Drosophila melanogaster: one gene and its partner. The protein of the gene in region 1 interacts with the protein of each later gene in a pairwise test. Each region holds a gene or a part of one and is shown on either strand. Other genes may lie near its edges.

Region 1 (9,436 bases):
TCTCTGTGTGTGTGTGTGTGTGTGTATAACATGTCTAGCCATGGTCGACGTCGCCTTTCGGTGGCGCTTGTTGGCTACCGTTGCACGCCGCGCCCAAAAGCCTAGAAGCTGTTGCTGCTTGCGGCTGCCATGGGTCAAGGGGGGCGGTCCAAGGCATGCATCGGGGGCGTGGCAGGGCAAACCGGTTACCGGTCTCGGCCAGAGGCAAAAATGCAGCTAAGCTTGTAGAAGGAGATAACGAGGCAACACAGTGAAACCTCGTGTGCTTGTTAATTGCATTAAAAAAAAACTGATTCTAATAGGGATTTAACGAAAAACTCATTGAAGAGTCAAATAGAAATTGAATTTGGGTTTCTTCTTAACAAAATGCGTGGGGTATAGTGTAATGTCACAACTCGATAATTTGATCAGTCTTTCACTTTTCAGCACTCTTGCCTAGAAATGTACGTTAGCGAGTCTCTACTTCTTCGCATTGTTCACACACATTGATAAACAAGATGTATACACACTATTCGTATGCTAAATGCGTTGGCCTGGCTGCAAAATCAAGTTTTGCATTTTCATTTGAATTTATTGGTTTCCTCGCTGGCTGTTGCCAGGCGCACTGCGATCGAGTGGAGTGACTTGACTTGGAGTGCAGTGCAGTCGACGGTGCCATTGCCATGCGATGCCATGCCAAGCCACGCCACTCGAAGACTTGCAACTTCATTCCCAATCAATTCTCGCATTCTTACTCTTCGAATATGGCGACGGCGTCCAAGAACAACGACAAGGCGACTACACTTGAAGTTAATATTTTATGGGTAGAGATATAGATACATAAATGAGATACACAGGGAGAGAGACGAGGGCTAGAACATCAAATGAAAAAAAAAAAAACAAGCGGAATACACTTAACGTTAGCTATTAATTAAAGCTGGAATTGGAATCCGGATGATGATTTTGTCTACATCCGCACCTGGAACTTGCCCGCCTTGGTCAGGTATTTGACGCCCTTGAAAGGCTTGTACTTCTCGCCGTACATGTCCAGGCGATTTACCTTTAGCCCAGAGACGGCCAGCTGCGAGATTTGGAACTGGACATTCACGGATGGATTGGCATCGATGTTGGTCGTACCGGGCGTAATGGAAACCTAGGCGTGCAAGGACAGTATATTATTAATGGGATAAAAATATAAATAATTTAAGACGTTAGATACATGAATCGTGTAAAAGTGTAAAGGGTCTCAATAGTTATTCTTACCGATCCCCTAATATTTGGCAACTTGGAAACATCGATCCGTCCCACATCCCAGGACAGCGTCTTGGTCACCGAATCGAAGGTATACTTTCCCTGATTCGGCGTCAATAGGCAATTAAGCACACACCGCGGCATGGTCAGCTCCAGCTTCACCTTGTCAACGGTGCGACCAAGGGTGTTCCTCGGGCCAATCGTGAGGTCCAGACGCCCCTGCTCACCCGTTTTGATCGAAAAGTTGTGCCTGATGTAGATGGGTATGGCCACCACGGACTGAGAGCTAATGTGATATGACATCAGGCGGAAGTTTCCGTCGGGCGGGATAAAGGAGAGCAGGCGCTCCGCCTCCCAGCGCTTGTAGCGCACGCAAGGATGGAAGGAAACGTCGTCGAAGAGGCGAGGATTCATGAAAGATAACGTCAGATCTGGCATGCCGGATAACTTAATGCAGCAGTCGATCTGATAAAAAAATAAAAGAGATAGAAATTATTTTTATAGACTTAAGTGAAACTTACGTGTCCCTGGATCTCGGCAAAGACCGTGGATCCGGATTTATCAATGATAGCGTCCACCTCCTCGATGACATCGAAGTACGCCTCGTTGTTGGTGTACCTCACGCCGCTTCTGCGCCAGCGAACCGCCGACAGCTGACCCGAGGGCAAAGTAGTGCTTACACTTCGGAAATCGGATTATTAATTGGATTATTAAGGTAAATGAAAGACAAAGACGGAGGGAGCATCATTCAACTTACTTGCTCTTGCCCGTCACCGTGTTGGCAATGGTGCGCAGGATATTGGGCGGCTTGATCAGCTCCTTGAGGATGTTGCTCTCGGTGGCCAGTGGGAAGCCATTATCGAGCATCTCGTCCAGCAGCTCGTAAACGACCACATAGTTGTCCTTGATCACGGACTCGGAGCAGTCGCCGAAATAGTCCTGGAAGGTGTCCACCACGCGATGCAGGAACTCGATGACAAAGAGCGGCGGCACCTCCTGCTTGCAGGCGGCGACCAAAGACACCGTGTCCCTTTGCACTGTAATCAGGTAGTAGTGGGGCGTGGCTATCACCGGCGGCACATCCTGCAACAAAGAGATATGGTCAGCATACAACCCATACGTGGCACGGGCGACTCACATATGGAGCAGCGCGCTGGGCGTCAAGGAAGTATTCGCACACAGATCTCGAGACAACCGAGCGCCAATGCTTTTCCAGGAAGACCTCGCTGAAATGCGGATATATGGGTATATGGGTATTACATCGTCTTCACATTTCACTTATAGGTATGGCTTACCCGCCGCTGTTTACAATAAACAGACTGTGTATCATAATTCGACCTAAATTGCTTGCTAGTTTAAGCTATGTTTTTTTTTCAGGGATGAATCATTAGCGATGACAGCGTGAAGGTGTTCTACTACCATGCTCCCGAAGCGCTTCAGTAACTGTTAAATAATTTCATTAAATTGAAATTAAGATAGGCTGAAATAAACGAACATTTATTTAAGGGGCCTTATACATAGTTAACTTATGAATTTATTTACTAACGTTGTGTTGTCATCACATCAGCTCATCACTAGCTCACTCGCTCATCTCTAATCGAACAGCTGATTGCTGCGAACCGGAACAAATGGAAATTGTATCGTGAGGCAAGTGGAGTTTCCCCTTTACTTTTGGCAAATAATAAATAAACAAAGGAACAAGCCTAAACATTTTCAATTAAACCATATACAGAACTAACGCACACATGTGACGGAGGCAATACACAAACACGGCACCTTTGAATCTCGCCTTAAAATTGGCGAAACCAACACGGAATTATATAACCGCCGGCTGAAAACACATGAGTCCGTACAGCGGATCCGTGCGTCGTCTGCTGGACAGTTGGCCAGGAAAGAAGCGCTTCGGTGTCTACCGCTTCCTGCCGCTCTTCTTTTTACTGGGCGCCGGCCTGGAATTCTCCATGATCAATTGGACAGTGGGCGAGACCAATTTCTGTGAGACTGCTACGCTTAAAACCTTACTTTTATTTACTAATACGGAATCTTTTCCATGCAGACCGCACTTTTAAGCGCCGCCAGGCGAAGAACTACGTGGAAGAGCAGCAGCATCTGCAGGCGCGAGCCGCGAATAACACCAACTAAGCAAAATGCCCGCCGGAGTTTCCTGGGGCCAGTACCTGAAATTCCTCGGCTGTGCCCTGGCATCCATGATGGCCGGATCGCAGGCTGTTCACCTTTACTATAAGCCTCTGGAGGACTTGCGCGTCTACATCGAACAGGAGCAACACAGCACACAGGTGGATCCCACCGCAAAGCCACCGGAATCTGCATAACACTGTGTACTAGACAAGTTATTGGTGACTAAAGCTATTTAAGTGAATGCCTGCTGTTTGTTGAGGAAAGGGTTGTTGGCATAGCACCTTCATGTCCTACGAAGAGCGTTACCTGTTCCAGAACATTCAAAAGACGCCACGTTTCCACTTAATCAGTCTATTTTAAAATCTTTTCCACTAAGGCTAGCTAAGACTACTTCTCGTGCACCTTCCGGTGGTTTTTAAGACACGTCTGCTGCCGGAAGGCCTGTCCACAGGTGTCGCAAATGTAGGGCTTCTCACCCGTGTGTATGTACTCATGGTGCCGCAGGGTTTTCCTAGAAGCAAAGCTCTCCGGACAGTGGTGACAGGGAAAGGGTTTCAGCTTTAAGTGGACTGCTCTCACATGGGCTTCGAGCTCGAATCGCCTGGCAAATCTTCTGCCGCAGTGCTCGCAGGGCAACTTGTCGTTCGAGTGCATCAGCATGTGCTGCAGCAGCATGAACTTCTTGGCCATCCGGCGTCCACAGACCTGGCATTCGTGGGGCAACTCTTCCTGCACCTCGTGCTGCTGCAAAGTGTGGTACTTGAGGGTGTATCGTGAATGGAACTCCTTTTGACAAATGTCGCAGAAATGGCGCTCTCCGGCGCCGCCCTCCCTGGCGGCCACCTCGTCCTCCGTGGGATGCTTTGTCTTAAGGTGGTATTTAAGATTCGCCGACTGGTTAAAGCTGGCTCCGCACTGCTCGCAGATGAATTTCTTCAAAGCATCGCGGTCACGCGGACTGTGCTTCAGCCTTTTGTGCTTCTGCATGGCTATGCGGCTGGTGTAGATTCTCTCGCAGCCTGGCTGGTCGCAGGGATGGCGTCGCTCCTTGGGGGCATGCACCTCTCGAATGTGGGTATACAGACCGCCCATGAAACTGTAGGCCTTCTCGCACTGATCGCATTGGAAGGGCCTTTTGCTGCCCTCGTGCACCTTACGGATGTGCGCTGCTAGGGTGATCTGGTGGGCAAAGCTGCGCCGGCACACAGAACACTTCAGGGTGTTCCTTGATCCCCTGAAGGACTTTCGGGGGGATTTATCACTTTTTATAGCCGGCTCATCGATGGGATCTGGGTCGGGAGCGGGTTCTGGTGGTTCCAGACCATGCAGAGACTCTTGGTCCTCCTCCCTGCCATCGTAGACTACTTCGAAAGTGGGTTCCCGTGGGTCTTTCTTCAGCATTTCCAGCAGCTGCTTCCTGCACTCGTCGGCTTTCCTGCGGAACTTTTCGAAATTCTGCACGGCGCTGCGGCATTCCAGGCACAGTTCGTTGGGCAGCCACTGCTGGTCGGCGTCCTGGTTCTCCACATCCTGCGATAGATTTATGTTGAGCAGCTGCTGCAGCTCCTGGCTGATTGGAATCTCATCTGATTGGAGCTCTGTCTTCAAGGGTTCCTTCTCCAATTGGAGCAGGCATGTGCAACAGAGTTCTCGTACGGATTCCCGGGTAAGATTTAAAGGCATTTTGTGGTTCTTTGAAAAAATTCAATTCAAAACGCTTTTTGTTAGGCGTTCCAACAGCTTGTTGTGGCTTTGTGAAAGAAGAAGAACATCAACTACAGTGCTCTCTTCAAAAAGCAAACAATAACTGTTTGACAACTCTGATTTAATATAAGTAGACGAATTTGTGAAAACGGTGTCCTAAAGAAATTTGAGTTATTAAAGCCAAATTAAAAGCGGAATTTATATATATACTAAGTGATACAGAAATCAGCACTATGCAAATTCCACTGTATTTCATTTGTATTTCAGACAAGACGTCGTCTGGTCACACTGAGCCAGAGGTGGACCTGAATCAAGCCTCCCAAGAAAACATATTTTATTCTATTTGCAGTTCGTCCTCTGGAATCTGGCGCAATGGTGTTCTACTTCAAGAGCAATGTGGTCCAGCCGCCGGCGATGCTATACATGGGTCGCGACAAGCACGAAAACGAGGAGCTCATCAGATGGGGCTGGCCGGAGGACGTGTGGTTCCATGTCCACGACCTGTCCTCGGCCCACGTGTATTTGCGGCTACGGAAGGGCCAGACAATCGACGACATACCCACCGATGTGCTGGTGGACGCCGCTCAGTTGTGCAAGGCGAACAGCATTCAGGGCAACAAGGTGAACAACCTGGAGGTGGTGTACACCATGTGGGAGAATCTGAAGAAGACCCCGGACATGGAGCCCGGCCAGGTGGCCTACCACAACGAGAAGGCGGTGCGTCGCATTCGCCTGGAGAAGCGCATCAATGAGATTGTCAATCGCCTGAACAGGACCAAAACGGAGGAGGAGCATCCCGATTTTCGGGGATTGCGCGAGGCGCGGGATGCCGCTGAGCGGCAAGATCAGAAGAAGATCCAGCGCGAGCGTCGCGAGCAGGAGAAGGAGGCTGCCAAGCAGCGTGAGCTGGAGGCGGAGCTGCGCAGCTATGCGTCCCTCCAGAAATCGGAGAACATGCGCACCAACTACGATGCCGGCAACGAGTCGGATGACTTCATGTAGTCCCCGGGTGGGCAGGACCAAGTCCTGGTGCACCCTCGCATTTACCCAAAACATCCTTTGCCATCCTCGACCTTTCTTACTCTATCAATCGCACATCATTTTGTAAATGCCATCTTTTTGGTTCATTAGAACGTTTGCGGCAGGCATTGCCAAAGAATTGCAGTGTGAGAAAAAAAAAATATAGATTGTAAATATAATAATAATAATAACAAGAAAGAATGCTATAGTCGAGTTATACCATTTTCTCAGCTAATGTGAATGCGAAATTTAATCATTTTCCTGGGATATCGAAAAATATTGGGGAAAAAATGACGGTTTTAGTGCGTTAGACTGGGCGTGGATGAAATTTTTTTTTTAAATCGATAGAAATTTAAGCGACTAATAAAATTGTGAAAAACCATCCAAACACTTATTAAAAATGTGGTCGTGGCAGTTTTGGGCGGTTTTACGGCGTGGGCATGGCTAGATAGAATCGGCTATTGAACCTGATCAAGAATAGATATACTTTATATAGTCGGAAACGATTCCTTCTGCCTGTTACATACTTTCCGACGAATCTAGTATACCCTTTTACTTTACGAGTAACGGGTATTTTGTGAGCAACTGCACTGCTTGCCAGTGTATAGTTAGTTTACTTTGTCACAGGTGGCGTGTTAAGCTCAATTCAAAATTTGAGTTATCGATATGAAACTGTAATAAACATATATTCGTTTTATTTACATGTCTGTAAACTTATCAGCAGAGGCTGGTTAACATTAGGAGAAGCGAACAGTCTGGCAACTCCATAAGTAAATTTCAAAAATGCCCGCATACAAATTTAAAAACTCATTCCGAATCGGTTGATTTCCATTTGATTGTGCCGAAGACAATTCGCGCTATCATCTGTCACATTTCCCACAATTTGATCGGCTCTGACAGCATCTGCAGCTTAAGCCTTTTTTTTGTTTTGGGTTTTCAGTTAATATTTTTTTTTTTTTTGCCCATCTTTATGATTGCTTATGTTTATAGTTGGGCGCCGTTTGGGGGCTCTGCCGTTTGCTGACCGTTTTATGGCTTCAACGGCTTGTTGCCTTTTTGAGTTTCTGGACAATTTGCTGTCAGCACATGGAAATGAATGGCTGCACGGCTGGCAAATCTTGTGTCAGCAAGAGCCGCACTCTTTTCGGCTCGGTAACGCACTCATTATCGGACATTTTATTTTCAGGCATTGTTCGCAACAACAATGGCAGCCAAACAACAATGGGGAAGCCCCCGAAAATGCGGCATGCGAAGAACTTGATGAGGCTGCGTGTCCTTTTGATAATGCCATACCAATCTCCTCCTTTTCGCTGTGCTCCGTCATTATGGCCAGTCGTAAACATTGATGACAGTGGGGCTGCACTCGGGTTACGCCCCCTTATCCGCCTGCCCCTGATTGATTCCCGGCGCCTGTGGCATTGTTTTCTCTGATTTAAAATGACTCTGCGAAGATGGTTTATGACCGCCTGGGCAGACAGATGTATGTATGTATGTAAGTAAGTCTTGCTTGGCTATAATAAAGTGGCATGACCATGAAAGTGGCCAAACGGGGGGTCACTGTCAAAGGAATCCCTCGGATATATCCCCCTCTTGGCCATCAGTAAGCGGCAATCGTCGTCATTAATCAAACTGGCAACAGTAAGCCCCCGCATTCCCCAACCCTCGTCAACGAAAGCTTCTCGCTTTCGCTCTTTATTGCATTTGTCACCACAGCATGAACAATGCACTGTTCGAAAAATTGTATGTTTTCACTTCTTTCACACAGTTTAATCGTGAAAACACATAACTTAGTTCTATCATTTTCTCGCTGTGCACGCAAACCTCTAGGACTGGTGAGAAAGCACACACATTGTGCTGGCGATGTGGGGAATGTCCATTTCCAGACACAACATAATTAGAAGCCGCAGCCTGGTGTTTTCTTGAATCTACGAAAAGGCACGAAACTGATTAACTAGTGGCTTTCGTACCAAATGCAGCTGCATATGCAGCTACGATTAATCAAAGTGGCCTACAGAATGGATGGCAGCTGGAAATTGGCTGGCTAAAAGCAAACGTTCGTGTTTTGGTAATCAAGTTTCGTATTTACTTGAACTCGATGTACGCCGGCCACTTGGATTGCAGCTAGTTGGTGTCCTAGTCCGGAACATTCTGGACCATCACTCATCCTGGCAGCGGTGGAAGGAGGCCATCCATCACATCAGTTGGTCCACTATTAGCAGGGCAGCAAAGGCGGAACCATTGTGCATTAATTTAAAATATTCGCCATCTTGATGGGAGATTAGCTAAGCTGCAGACCTCAAACAGGACAAGCTATGCACTCTAAATAATGGGGGTAATGTTGTCGATTTGATCTTAAATGAAAATACGCATGATACTGATAAACAGAGGAACGAAAATTAGAACGACTTGCAGCTTTCCAGCTTCAGCTGCAAAAAACAGTATGTTTTTTTTTTTCTCTATTTTTAGTAAGAAAAATATCAGAATTTTACGTACAACTTTTGTAATGGAAGTTCGAATGTGGAATGCCATACCTTGTTGAATTCGTAGCTTAATTTCCTATCGAGTGGCATTCCCAGCTAAAAATTTTAAAATTTCACGATTTTTCGAAAAAAAACGTGATGTTACCCCTTATAAAAAAGTGAAAATTTCGAAAAAAATTATTTTTACCAAATTATCTAAAAAATGAAATGGGTCGGTAGGTGAGGTTGTCAGCTGCAAAAAACAATATGTTTCGTATCTGTGCGCCTTAATTTTGCGAAGTTACAACTAAAAAACCAATTAAAAAATCGTTCATTTTGGCAAACAAATGTGTTATGATTTTTACTAACAAAAATGTTCGGATTTTATCCACAACTTTTTTAATAGTCGCTCAAATGCGGAATGCCATACATTGTTGAATTCGTAGCTTAATTTCCTATCGAGTGGCATTCCCAGCTAAAAATTTTTAAATTTCACGATTTTTCGAAAAAAAACGTGATGTTACCCCTTATAAAAAAGTGAAAATTTAGAAAAAAATTATTTTTACCAAATCATCTAAAAAGGGTAATGGGTCGTTAGGTTGGGTTGTCAGCTGCAAAAAACAGTATGTTTCGTATCCGTGAGTCTTATTATTGCGAAGTTACAACTAAAAAACTAATAAAAAAATGATAATTTTGGTAAAAAAAAGGTCTTGATTTTTAGTAAGAAAAGTATCAGAATTTTACGTACAACTTTTGTAATAAAAGTTCAAATGTGGAATGCCATATCTTGTTGGATTCGTAGCTTAATTTTCTGTCGAGTGGCATTCCCAGCTAAAAATTTTTAAATTTCACGATTTTTCGAAAAAAACGTGATGTTACCCCTT
Region 2 (10,767 bases), 3.5 Mb from region 1:
CAGGTTAAAAGGTTTTCCTGCAATTTAAACTATACAACAAACAACTTAAATAGGAAAATTAGTAGTTAGGGCCAGCAAATTTTAAATACTTTCTCATTTTGTTGAAAGGGTCTTTTTGCCACCTTTTCTGTAGTGCTGTAAAATGCTATATATAATATAGTGAAATTACTATAGCAATTTTTGGTTAAAATATTCAATTTCAATCTTTGGAAGGGGACTTTCGTGTGCAAGTGGGCTTGTTATCGGGTCATTACACACATAAACTTTCGTTTTTTTTTTTTTGGCCAAACCGATTAGTGCTTAAACTTAGACATGATTGTTCACAAAATTATATTGGTAGATGTGTGTATGTATGTATGTATGTATGTATGTATGTATGTGTGTGCTCAAACTCAAATTAGCTAAATGATATTTTAATGACACCACTCCAAATGCAAAAAAACTCGTATCTGAAACAAAAGGCAAAAGGAATCGGCTGCGGCCCATAAAATATAATTCGATCTGTCTGCTCAGTATATCCGATTGTTGTTACTGTTGTTGTTGTTGTTGTTGCATAATTAACGCATTAGTGGCTCTTTATTATGATAATTTGTGTGTTTCTTGAACAAATTATGCAAGCTGTTTTTAGCCAAATAATTTTTGGTATCTTTCATTTTTTTTTATTTTAGCAATAATTATACATTGATTTTGGTTTCAAGGTTGGCTTTGCTAATTTGACTAAGAAAAATCACCAAACAAAAACGTGTGAGTCGCCAAAGAAGTTGACATTTAATTCGTTGAGAAGGCAGTCAAATATATTTGATTGAGTCTTGGATGAAATATTGATGAACTCCCTTGAAGTTCATGGGGGTGACAGCCCTATGATAGAGTTGTCGTCGTATTTTATATAAATTCACGAAGGTTGCTTAATGCCACAGAGGTTTTGGAATCTACACAAATGGTAATAAATGTAATGTAAGATAATAGAAAATGTACCGATACTTGAAATTATTGAACTACCATCAAAGTTTTAACTGCCCGCGTGGCACTTAGCCAATCAGATCGAACACCAATTATTAGGTAGATGTTGTAATAGTTGCTCAATGTCCAGGGTTAACTCGATACCGCCTGTCTGGTAAATTGATTTCGCAAAACTCACATTAAAAAGGCGTTTAAAAGCGATATACAATAGGCCAGAGATCAACCCGATGACAGGGCAAAAAAAAAAAATCGAGGGTATTTCAGAAGTGCGAGCGTGGCCAATTCTGGCACAATAAAACTGCGATTCGACGCGCTTCCCCTCCACCAAAAAATAGGTCAATTAATTTTGGTTTTCGTTTTGTTTTTTTTTTTTGGAACCCCCCCTCGTTTAGAAGAGAACTTTCCACAAAAGAGAAAACCGAAATCAAAAGGTTTGAGAAATAAGACAACGAGACAAAAAGACACTTGCAATTAGTCAGGTGGCGGATCATTTAAGGCAAACTTTATATGTATAACTTATCTAGCCGACTATCTGGCTTTGTACTTCCGTCAGCATTTTAGCTTTCTTTTGCCTTTTCGGATTTGATATCCATATAGAAATGAAGGGCGTATGCGACATATTAAGCCGCTTAATGGCGAATCAAGCAACAACAAGCTCCGCAAATAGACAGCGGCAGTCAGGTGTTAATTGTCTTTCGTGAAAGAAATTTCTCAATAATAATCGTAATGAAATAAAAAAAAAAAATATATATAAAAAAAAGGCGGCAATGAATCACCGAAATGTCTGGATTCACTTTCACACAGGCCAACAAACGATCCCTCACATGCAATATATATGTATGTATTTAAATATACATATAAATCAGCATTGCATAATGACGCCCAACTGCAATACTATACTTGTATCTTTAGTTTCGAATGCATCTCCAGTGTAGGTGTGAAAAAGTCAGCGACCCAAAGGCAAAAGTTAAACAACAAATACGAAAATGTTCAAAAATACACACACACAAAAAAAAAAAGAAATCCATACCGAAAAAACTTTCTCAATGAATAACCCCCACATGCAATTGAATGAGTGTTTGTGTGAATCATATTCAAAGTTGGCGCATAATATTGTAGTTTTGTGGTATTCAAATATTTATTCGAATTTCTCATGCGCTAATTTAATACAAACGAAACTGAAAATATTTTTAAATTCGATAAATAATTTGATTTTGATTTAAGGCGGAATTGACATTCTGACATTCTTACATTTTTTTTTTTTTTTAAATTTTGAGTGCCAATGGTGAATGCAATGACTTTCATTGCTGAAATTGTTCACTTAAATTGCAATTGCAATTAATGAATTCGCTTAATGTATCCATTCAACGAATACATTGCACATTTTCCATGCCTTTTTTTTATTGTTGAATGGGCTTTGTTTCGCTGTTTTTCTCATTGGAAAAGACTATCTCAAACAAAGTATTCAACCTGATTTCGTTGCTTACTCTTATTAGCAAATCTCACCTTGACATTGGGCTGTTGCAGTTGCAAGAAGGTGGCTACTCCATTGCGCACACGATTCTTGACGCCCCGTACGGTTCCCTTGGCGGATTTAATTGTAGAATTGCCGGCGAGCTTGCCCGCCGTTCGAATGTCACGAAAGCCAACAAAATCCTCACCCGGCTGCTCATCCGTAAAGTGCTGCGCTTCGTATTCCGTCGAGGAATTGGAACCAAAACTCCGGAAATTCTCGTGTTCGCGCACATGGAATGTGTAATAGCCATCCGTTTCGAATTGCAATGGTCTGCCATTGATTTTGGTGACCAGAGGACCGGACGCTCGTTCCCTGAATCGAATATCCCGCAGCAGGGTAGTGGGCAGCAGGCCACCAGAGTGCAGGGAATCGCAGCTTAGCGATGAGTTGCTGCTCTCATCGCATTCCTCGCTGTCATCGGTGAGGCTATATGCTCGCTTCGGAACGGGACTCGGCGTCTCCAGCGGGCTGTGCTTATGGTCCGCCTCCTCGTTGACCATCAGCCGCGTGGTCTGCAGATGAAGCTCCAGTTGCGGTGATCTCACCTGTTGCGGCTGCTGCTGCTGCTGCGGATGATTCTCCAGATCGCTGCCCGTGCCACTGTCCAAGGTCTCGCAGGGCGAGTACTGGCCACTGGTGTCCACCAAATAGCACATGTGCTGCTGCATCTCCTCCACGCCCTCGTTCAGCTTCACCACACTTATCTGCTTGCCCAGTGTTCGCTGCTGACCCTGGCTTTCGATTTGAATCTTCACCGTATTGTTGTGTTGCAATGTTGCCGCTGTGTCCGCTGCTGTTGCTGCTGCTTGACTGGCGGCAATTTCACCATTGCAGCTGATTATGGTCGGTGATGTTGCTGTTGCTGCTGCTGCTGTTGCTGCTGATGCTGCTGCTTCTGCTGATGCTGTTGCACCGGCAATTTCTCCGCCAATGCGCAACAGTAACTGCGGATAGATTTTGTTGGTCTCTGGTGCTGCTGTCGACTTTGCTGCAGTGTCGTAACTAGTTTCCAAATTATCTTTGGCTGTTGCTGCTGTGTCGCCAAATGCCAGCAACATGCCAGCAGCCTGTGACTTGAGCGACATTTCAGTGTTGCTGTTGCTCTTGGCAGTTGGTGCTACTTGTTTTGTTGCGGCTTCTGCTTCGGCAGTTGCGGTTGTTGTTGCTGGTGGTGGTGTTGCCGTTGCCACTTCTGGCGATTCAATGATTATGGAAATACCGCGCATTGGCTCCAATCGCGACACATTGCTAGTAATTGCCGCCATGGTTCTGCAGCATCTGGTTGTCGATATCCGATTTCAGATATCCAGTGCCTAGATCTCGTGCCTCCAAGCTGATGCAATCAAGTGCCGGCTAATGATGTTGCTCCTGTGCGTTCCACTTGCAGCTGCCTCTGCCTCTGCCTCTGTCTCTGCCGTTGACCGTTGCCAAGTGCTTTACAGTTAGAATGCCGCCTGCATACGATTGAAGTAATTGCCGCAGTTGCCTCTGCAAGAAATGTATTTATGCCAATGAAATAAAGTTTTATTTATTTTCGACTGAAATTTTGACGAGCCGTTGAGATTCTAATAGTCTAAAAAATGTCTAAATATGACCCCAAAGCTAACCAAGATAGGTATTTTCAATTTCTCCAAGTGTGTTAGACGCCGCCACACGAGCTTGACATTTAAGTTGAAGATGATGCTGAATAAATGTTAAAGGCTTTACCAGCATACTAAAAATACAGATGGGAAACCAGACAAAAAAAAAAATAATAATAATCATAATAATGATAAACACGAAACACCGCAAAAAGCAGAAAGAACTGGCTAAAGAATGTCGTAAGCAAAAGGAATATAAAATTCTGAATACCCTGTAATTTTTGCAGCTAATCATTTCTTTTCTATACATATTTGTAAACTAAGCAATTAATTGAAACAATTTAAATATAAACAAAAGATAGTTATTGTAACGAAATCAACTTCAGATATCATTTCGTTATTAATGTAGCTACATATGTATGTATGTAGCAAGCCGTATCGATTAGTGCAGCAACTTTTTCGATTCCGACAGTGAATGTTCTTCAAACTTAAGAACGAGTCGGAATTTACATTTAAATTGCTGAGGAGGAACTTGAAATATTGGGCGCGCACAGCCCGCGGCATTTTTGACTGCGGTTTTTTACGATTTTTTTTTTTCTCTTTGGAATCTGGAAACTGGTTACACTTGAACCTGGTATTTGTGTTTTTTTTTTCGTTTGTTGTTTGGAAATATTTACCCGTTGGTATTGCTGTTGTTGTTGTTGCTGCTGCTGGCCTGCATTCGCCGCTTATTGCACACAATTTTCATTTGATAGCATACCAAACAAACACACACACAAAAATAAAACAAAAATTGAAAAAATCGAAAAAATCAAAAAATTCAGAGATTTTTTATTGGACTATATTTTTTCATATATTGCACACACGCACGCAGTCTGTTTTTTTCCTTTAGATTTTCATGTTGCTGTGCTTACTATCAATCTTTGATCTTTCGTTGGGATTCTTCAGTTACTATATGTAATATATATGTATATATATGCACATGTATATCGGCTTGAAAACACGACTTTTGAGAACTCGCCGCGCGTACAATCCATTCAAAATCGCGCTGGCAACTGAAGCCGCAGCAACAAAGTCGCTTTGGGTTGGCGTGTTTCGCCAGGGATTGTTTTTTTTTTTTTTTTTTTTTTACCACTTCTTCTTCTTCGCATAGTTTCCTCTCTGTCTGCCGCCCATTCGCCGACTCTTTCTCAAGCCAGTTGTTGTTGAGGTTTTTTTAATTTTTGCTTTCAAGAAACTCACAAAAAAAAAGCAGCAGCCGCTGAAATTACCTAAAACAAAAATAAAAGAGCTTCAAGGCGATGGTTTAAATACACTGTCAGCAGATTTATTAGCTTATTAAGTACGCAATTAAGTCAGATTTCAAGTATTGCCCTAATAATTAATAATATTTACTTGCTACACATTTGCTTAATTATTTTTCAATTATATTGAAAATATATTATATTTATTATTAAATGCATAGAAATAGGTTGCATTTATTTGACATAGCCTGCATGTTGCACGATGAGTGCAAAAGTCAACTTACCCCAAAGGAAAAAGCGGGCAACAAATATGCGCCGCTGAGAATTTGTTTACGTGCGCATGCGCAGCCGCTGTCGACGGCGCTGCCTCTGCCGCAGTCGCTGCCCATGTCGACGTCGGCACTTGTCCGTCGCTTTTATTATTGTTATTGTTATTGCTGGTCTTGTTGCTGCCGCTGCTGTTGCTGCTGCTGTTGCTGGCGGCGCAGTACTCGTTTGTTGCCAAAGTTAATTGTTTGGTGCCACAGCTGCACAGTGGGACATCGAGAGTGCGCGGGGCACAGTGGGCAGTGGCAATTGGATGGCTGAATGGAATGTGGCAAGGCCTCAAACTGGTTTTCAGTTTTTAGGGGCTCAGGTGCGGCGATAACGCGATTGAGACTTCAACACGAGAGCAGGAATTCCGATTCCGCTGGCAATCAAAACAGCTTGCCGATCAAATTGGTTCAGTTCGAACCAAGAAATATATATATGTATATATATATATAATAAACATATGCACTTCTGGATCTCTGAAGCTGAAAAAGCTAACGAGTTGACCCCATGCTGATTCTAGTTTCAAACGAATCCTCCTCTTTGGACGCATTGGTCGCATTGTCGCCCAGAAATTTCCGCCTTAGAAATATGTACATATGTACAACTTAAGCATAAACAACAACTTTCCATCAAGCGACTTCGTCGCTCCGGCTGAACAATTGCCAAATGGATTTTAGCTTTTAATTATATTTAATACCAAAGTGTTTATGCAAAGGAAAGAAAAAAAAAGAAAAAAACCGAAAGAAAGACGCCTCGAATTTGTGTGTGCAATCAACGGAATGTAAAGCTGCACTTGCAGTATGCAGAAAGTACGAGTGCAGCAGCCACATGCAACAGGCGCTGCAGCTTGTAATTTACCGCTAATTCGATGCAGTGAGACGTCCAACGATGACGACCACTAATGTATGGTATGCATGTACGTATGTATGTACTTATGTATGTTTGTGCTTGCCACCGCCACCCGTACCGCCCCCAGTGGTAGAGGTACCGCTCCGCCCAGCACGATGGCCGGTCACTTGGCCAGTTTGTTTCCGCCTGTTGCGCTCCGCTGAAGTCACAAGGGCTGCTGCAGGCGTTGGCCAATTCAGATTACCGTTGCACATGCGCACACACACTCACACACTTTGCTGCACTGTGAGAAAGGAGTGACACTTGTCCATCGATTGCCAATGAAAAAAAAATATTTTTTAAAGAATTTTGTCGCCTTTCGTTACATTTGTATATGTTTTACAACTTATTTATCTACATTTAACAATTTAATTCCATTTTTTTTTCACTGTGTATTACTTCTAGTCAGTGAAAAGAAACTAGCCAAGCTTCACTAATCAATGGAGAAGTTTTTATGAATTCAGGATTTGTAAAGGAGTCGTAGGCTAATTGAAAAGTGAAAGAAAAAAAATAATCCCAATTTTTTGTGGCCAATTAAAATACCATATGAACGTAGGCTTTTTTTTTTTATTATTTATTGTCATTTAGTTGCAATTGTTGTTATGACTTAACAGTTGCAAGTTTAACATAAGTTAATAATCATACGTTGAATTATCTATATCATAGTTTCATGTGTTTCAATGCAAATGAAAGAATTTTACATCAATTAGAAGTTTCTTGTGAGCTAGCAAAATAAGGATAACAAATTCTGTAATAATCATCGAATTTTTTTTTTTTTAGCAATATGATTTTAATTGTTTATCGTAAATATATTACTATTCATTTTCAAGTTTTTGCAAACTGCGTGTGTTCCATCTGCGTATTCTTTGCGGGTAATAGAAGGTCGCCCATATATCGCGTCTCTTTCGTTTTGGTTTAAAACTCGTTTCGTAAGGGTTCCTTTATTGTCAACATCAATAACATTAAATACATGTATAATATATGTTTTCCTTTCGATCTAAATAGATGTGTATAATATATATCGATGTATATATATGTATAAGTATACCATAATGAAATTGATAACTTATAATACAGTGCAATCCATTGCTACATGGAGGAGTGAATTTCTTTTTCAAGGGTTTTTAATTTTTGATCGATTTTAAAAATGCCCAGAAGTGTCCAGAATTGTGTTTCAAAACGAATTCACGCGACCATTAGCTGCATTTCAAACACACATAAATAAATGTATATATATATAATAATGAGTCGTTTAACTTTAAGCTGCCATCTCCAGTTATGTATATGTATATCTTTATAGGGTTCATTTTCCACCTATTTGAACGGTTGCGTTTGCGATTTGTTAATGTTTTTCTTTAATGTAAATGTATATGTAAATGTATATGTATATGTATATATATATAACTACAGATATACCTATAGGCCATAAGTACAATGGAGTGTGGCGATGATAACGATTACCAACAAGTAATTTTATTCGTATAACTTTCGATTAGAGCAAAACATAACTCATTTCCAATATACATACATATCTCCGCCATCAAATATCTAAAACACTGAGACTTTAAAGTAGTTTTTTTAGGTTTTAAGCATAGTTTCGAATGTGATATGATTTCGTGATTCACACAGAAAGCCGTCGAGCTGAGATCACAACAGAGAATGAACTGTGCTTGATATAGTCACTGTATAGTTATAGTTATATATCTTCTATATAGGTGGTGCCCTCCCCGATGTCCCTTGCATGATATGGTCAAATTAAAGAATTAAGTCTAGAATATAGCATAGTTAGTCGAATATAGTTATCATACATATATATATCGTATATAGTCAGCAAATTGTGTTTGTGGCAAATTGTACGTTTTCTCTTTGATAGCGAAATCGGATATGTAGACCCTATAAGGGTGGCCATATAACAAACTCTAAACTCTCTCTGCCCTTTTTCGACAAAAAAAAAAAAAAAAACCAAAACCAAACCAAAGAAGAAAGGCAATGGAAAACAATAATCGCGTATATATGTATATGGCCACATGCTAATGAAGTTATGCGGAAATATTTCCATTGATTTCGCCCATTTTTTTTAATGCATTTCTATAGCTTTCTGCTTGAATGAAACCGCGCATCCAGCGTCGAGTTTTACCTAGTATTGCTATTTTCCTATTTTCATTTTCCTTGTTGTGGTTGCTTTGCATTATAGTTTTTCGGTTTTGTTTTTTTTTTTTTTTGTTTTATCTTCAAACAGTCTTTGGGACGACCATATAGGAGTGTTTTGATATCGACGCCGCATCTAACATCGGTGAGTGCTTACTTATTGTCCATATTTACATCGAGATTCAATTATATATATTTCATCATTCGTATCATATTCGGTTTGGGTTCGGTCAAGAATTCATTTGGTTTTATTGTCGTTGTTGTCAACTTATCATTGGTATCCTGTGCGTGTCTACTCCTCCTCTTCCAGCGACTTTTCGGGTAGTCCGTACTTTGGGCAACACATGCCCTCCGTACCGTCCATGTTGAAGCAGAAAATGCTGCGCTCCAGTTCGGTTGGTTCGTGTGGCACGATGCCGTGGACTTCCCTTAGCTCCGCTTCGGGAAACCAGGCGGGATCCGAGTCTTCCACCACCTTGATTCCGCACAGACTGAAATACGAAATATGTGTGTGTGAAATCATAAGACATAAGTCATAGGCTGGCTAATTACCGCAGCACCGCCACAATTGGTATCCACAGAATGGATGAGAGTATAAGGAAGAAGGCAACGACAATGCACCAGTGCGGCCACTCCATGCCCTCAGTGGCTCCCTTCGATCCAATCCAGGCAGGATAGCTACTGCCCTCGGTCAAAAGTTGATAGAAGGAGGCCAGCAGAATGGTGACCATTGCACAGGGCGATAGGTACTTCCAGCAGAACATCCAGTAGAAATTCGGACGCGAACCGGTCATCATCTCAATATCGTCCGAGAAACGGCGTACCCCATAGATGTAGCTAATCGAAAGGCATTCGAAGAGCGCAATGATCAGCAGCGGGAAATTGCCTGCAAAGCTGTCCATCAATTGAAATATATAGCTCCCGGCTCCATTGGCAAAGCACATGGAGATTGTGCAGCAGGAAAAGCAGAGTGCCTGCAAAAGAAATGAAATTTCAATTGATTATTAAATTCACTAGGAAAAACATCAATAAATCAGAGTAAAGAAGTTGAGAAATAAGAATGGCTCACCCCCACTATATATTCCTTGGGCAGGTTGGGAAAAAGTTTCATGTCCACCAGGGATGTGACCACGCCCTCCAGCGTACCGAATTGCGAGTCGATTCCCAGGGTAAAGAGCATCAGAAAAAATAGGACAGCCCAGAGTTGTGCACCCGGAAACTGATTGATCGCCTCCGTGAAGATGATGAAGGCCAGACCTGTTCCGGAAGCACTCTGAAATGGTAAATATATATATGTATATATTCCGTGTAAGCATATAGCAAGTGAACTCACATTGGCCAATTCCGTTTGAAGATCGCAGACAGGCAGGTTGTGCGTCTTGTTCTGGGCCACAAGCCCATTACGCTCCTCAGTGCAGCGATCAAAGGTCGCCGTGGCCTTAAACCCAATGACAGAGAATACCACCACTCCGGCAAACATGGATGTGCCACAATTGGTGAGCGATACGAGTATGGCGTCCCTGTAGCAATTATTATTCGCCGGATTGTACGAACTGAAGGCTATCAGACCGCCAAAGGCCAATCCCAGCGAGAAGAAGATCTGTGTGCCGGCCTCCAGCCAAACGACTGGATCCAATAGAGTTTCCCATCGTGGGGTAAACAAGTGTGCCACCCCATCTGCAGCACCCTTCAAGGTGATGCCCCGAAAAAAAAATATTATAAGCACCACATAGGGGAATATGGCCGTCATATAGACGATCTTGCCGGATGACGTGATGCCCTGGACCATGCAGATGTAGACCAAAAACCAGGAGACAATTAGCGCAATGGCCATGTGGTAATTGAAGTTCTCCGGCATATCCACACTCTCCGAGCACTGCAATGTGGTGCGATACCAATAGAACTGCGTCGGAGATGAGGCCACACACTCCGGTTCGTGGTCGTAGGTAAAATTCTTATACAACCTCGTCGGACAGTCCGCCCAGGGTAATGGCGATTCGAAACTGTGTAGCAGATAGATCAGGCACCAGGCAATGATAGTGTTATAGTACAACGCCACTATATAGCTGACCACCGCCGATGAGATACCAATGCCGCCTAGATACGGCGATACTTG

Evidence for each region.
Region 2: the proteins of CG4593 (region 1) and CG12206 interact in a two-hybrid assay, tested with the Drosophila melanogaster proteins (one large-scale study listed by BioGRID).

The regions. Positions count from the first base shown.
Region 1 is NC_004354.4:7,008,532-7,017,967, forward strand, and holds CG4593 (uncharacterized protein), read left to right. Parts: upstream 1-5,355; 5' UTR 5,356-5,445; coding exon 5,446-6,075; 3' UTR 6,076-6,478; downstream 6,479-9,436. Other genes in the region: cm (carmine), read right to left, coding at 947-1,132, 1,243-1,695, 1,752-1,911, 1,988-2,313, 2,369-2,456, 2,526-2,560; sloth1 (sloth 1), read left to right, coding at 3,072-3,225, 3,287-3,372; sloth2 (sloth 2), read left to right, coding at 3,378-3,563; CG3032 (uncharacterized protein), read right to left, coding at 3,757-5,052.
Region 2 is NC_004354.4:3,469,408-3,480,174, forward strand, and holds the start of CG12206 (uncharacterized protein), read right to left. Parts: upstream 5,118-10,767; 5' UTR 4,734-5,117; intron 4,044-4,733; exon of another isoform or gene 3,965-4,043; 5' UTR 3,742-3,964; coding exon 2,467-3,741; intron 1-2,466. Other genes in the region: CG10804 (uncharacterized protein), read right to left, coding at 8,944-9,142, 9,204-9,625, 9,721-9,924, 9,985-10,767.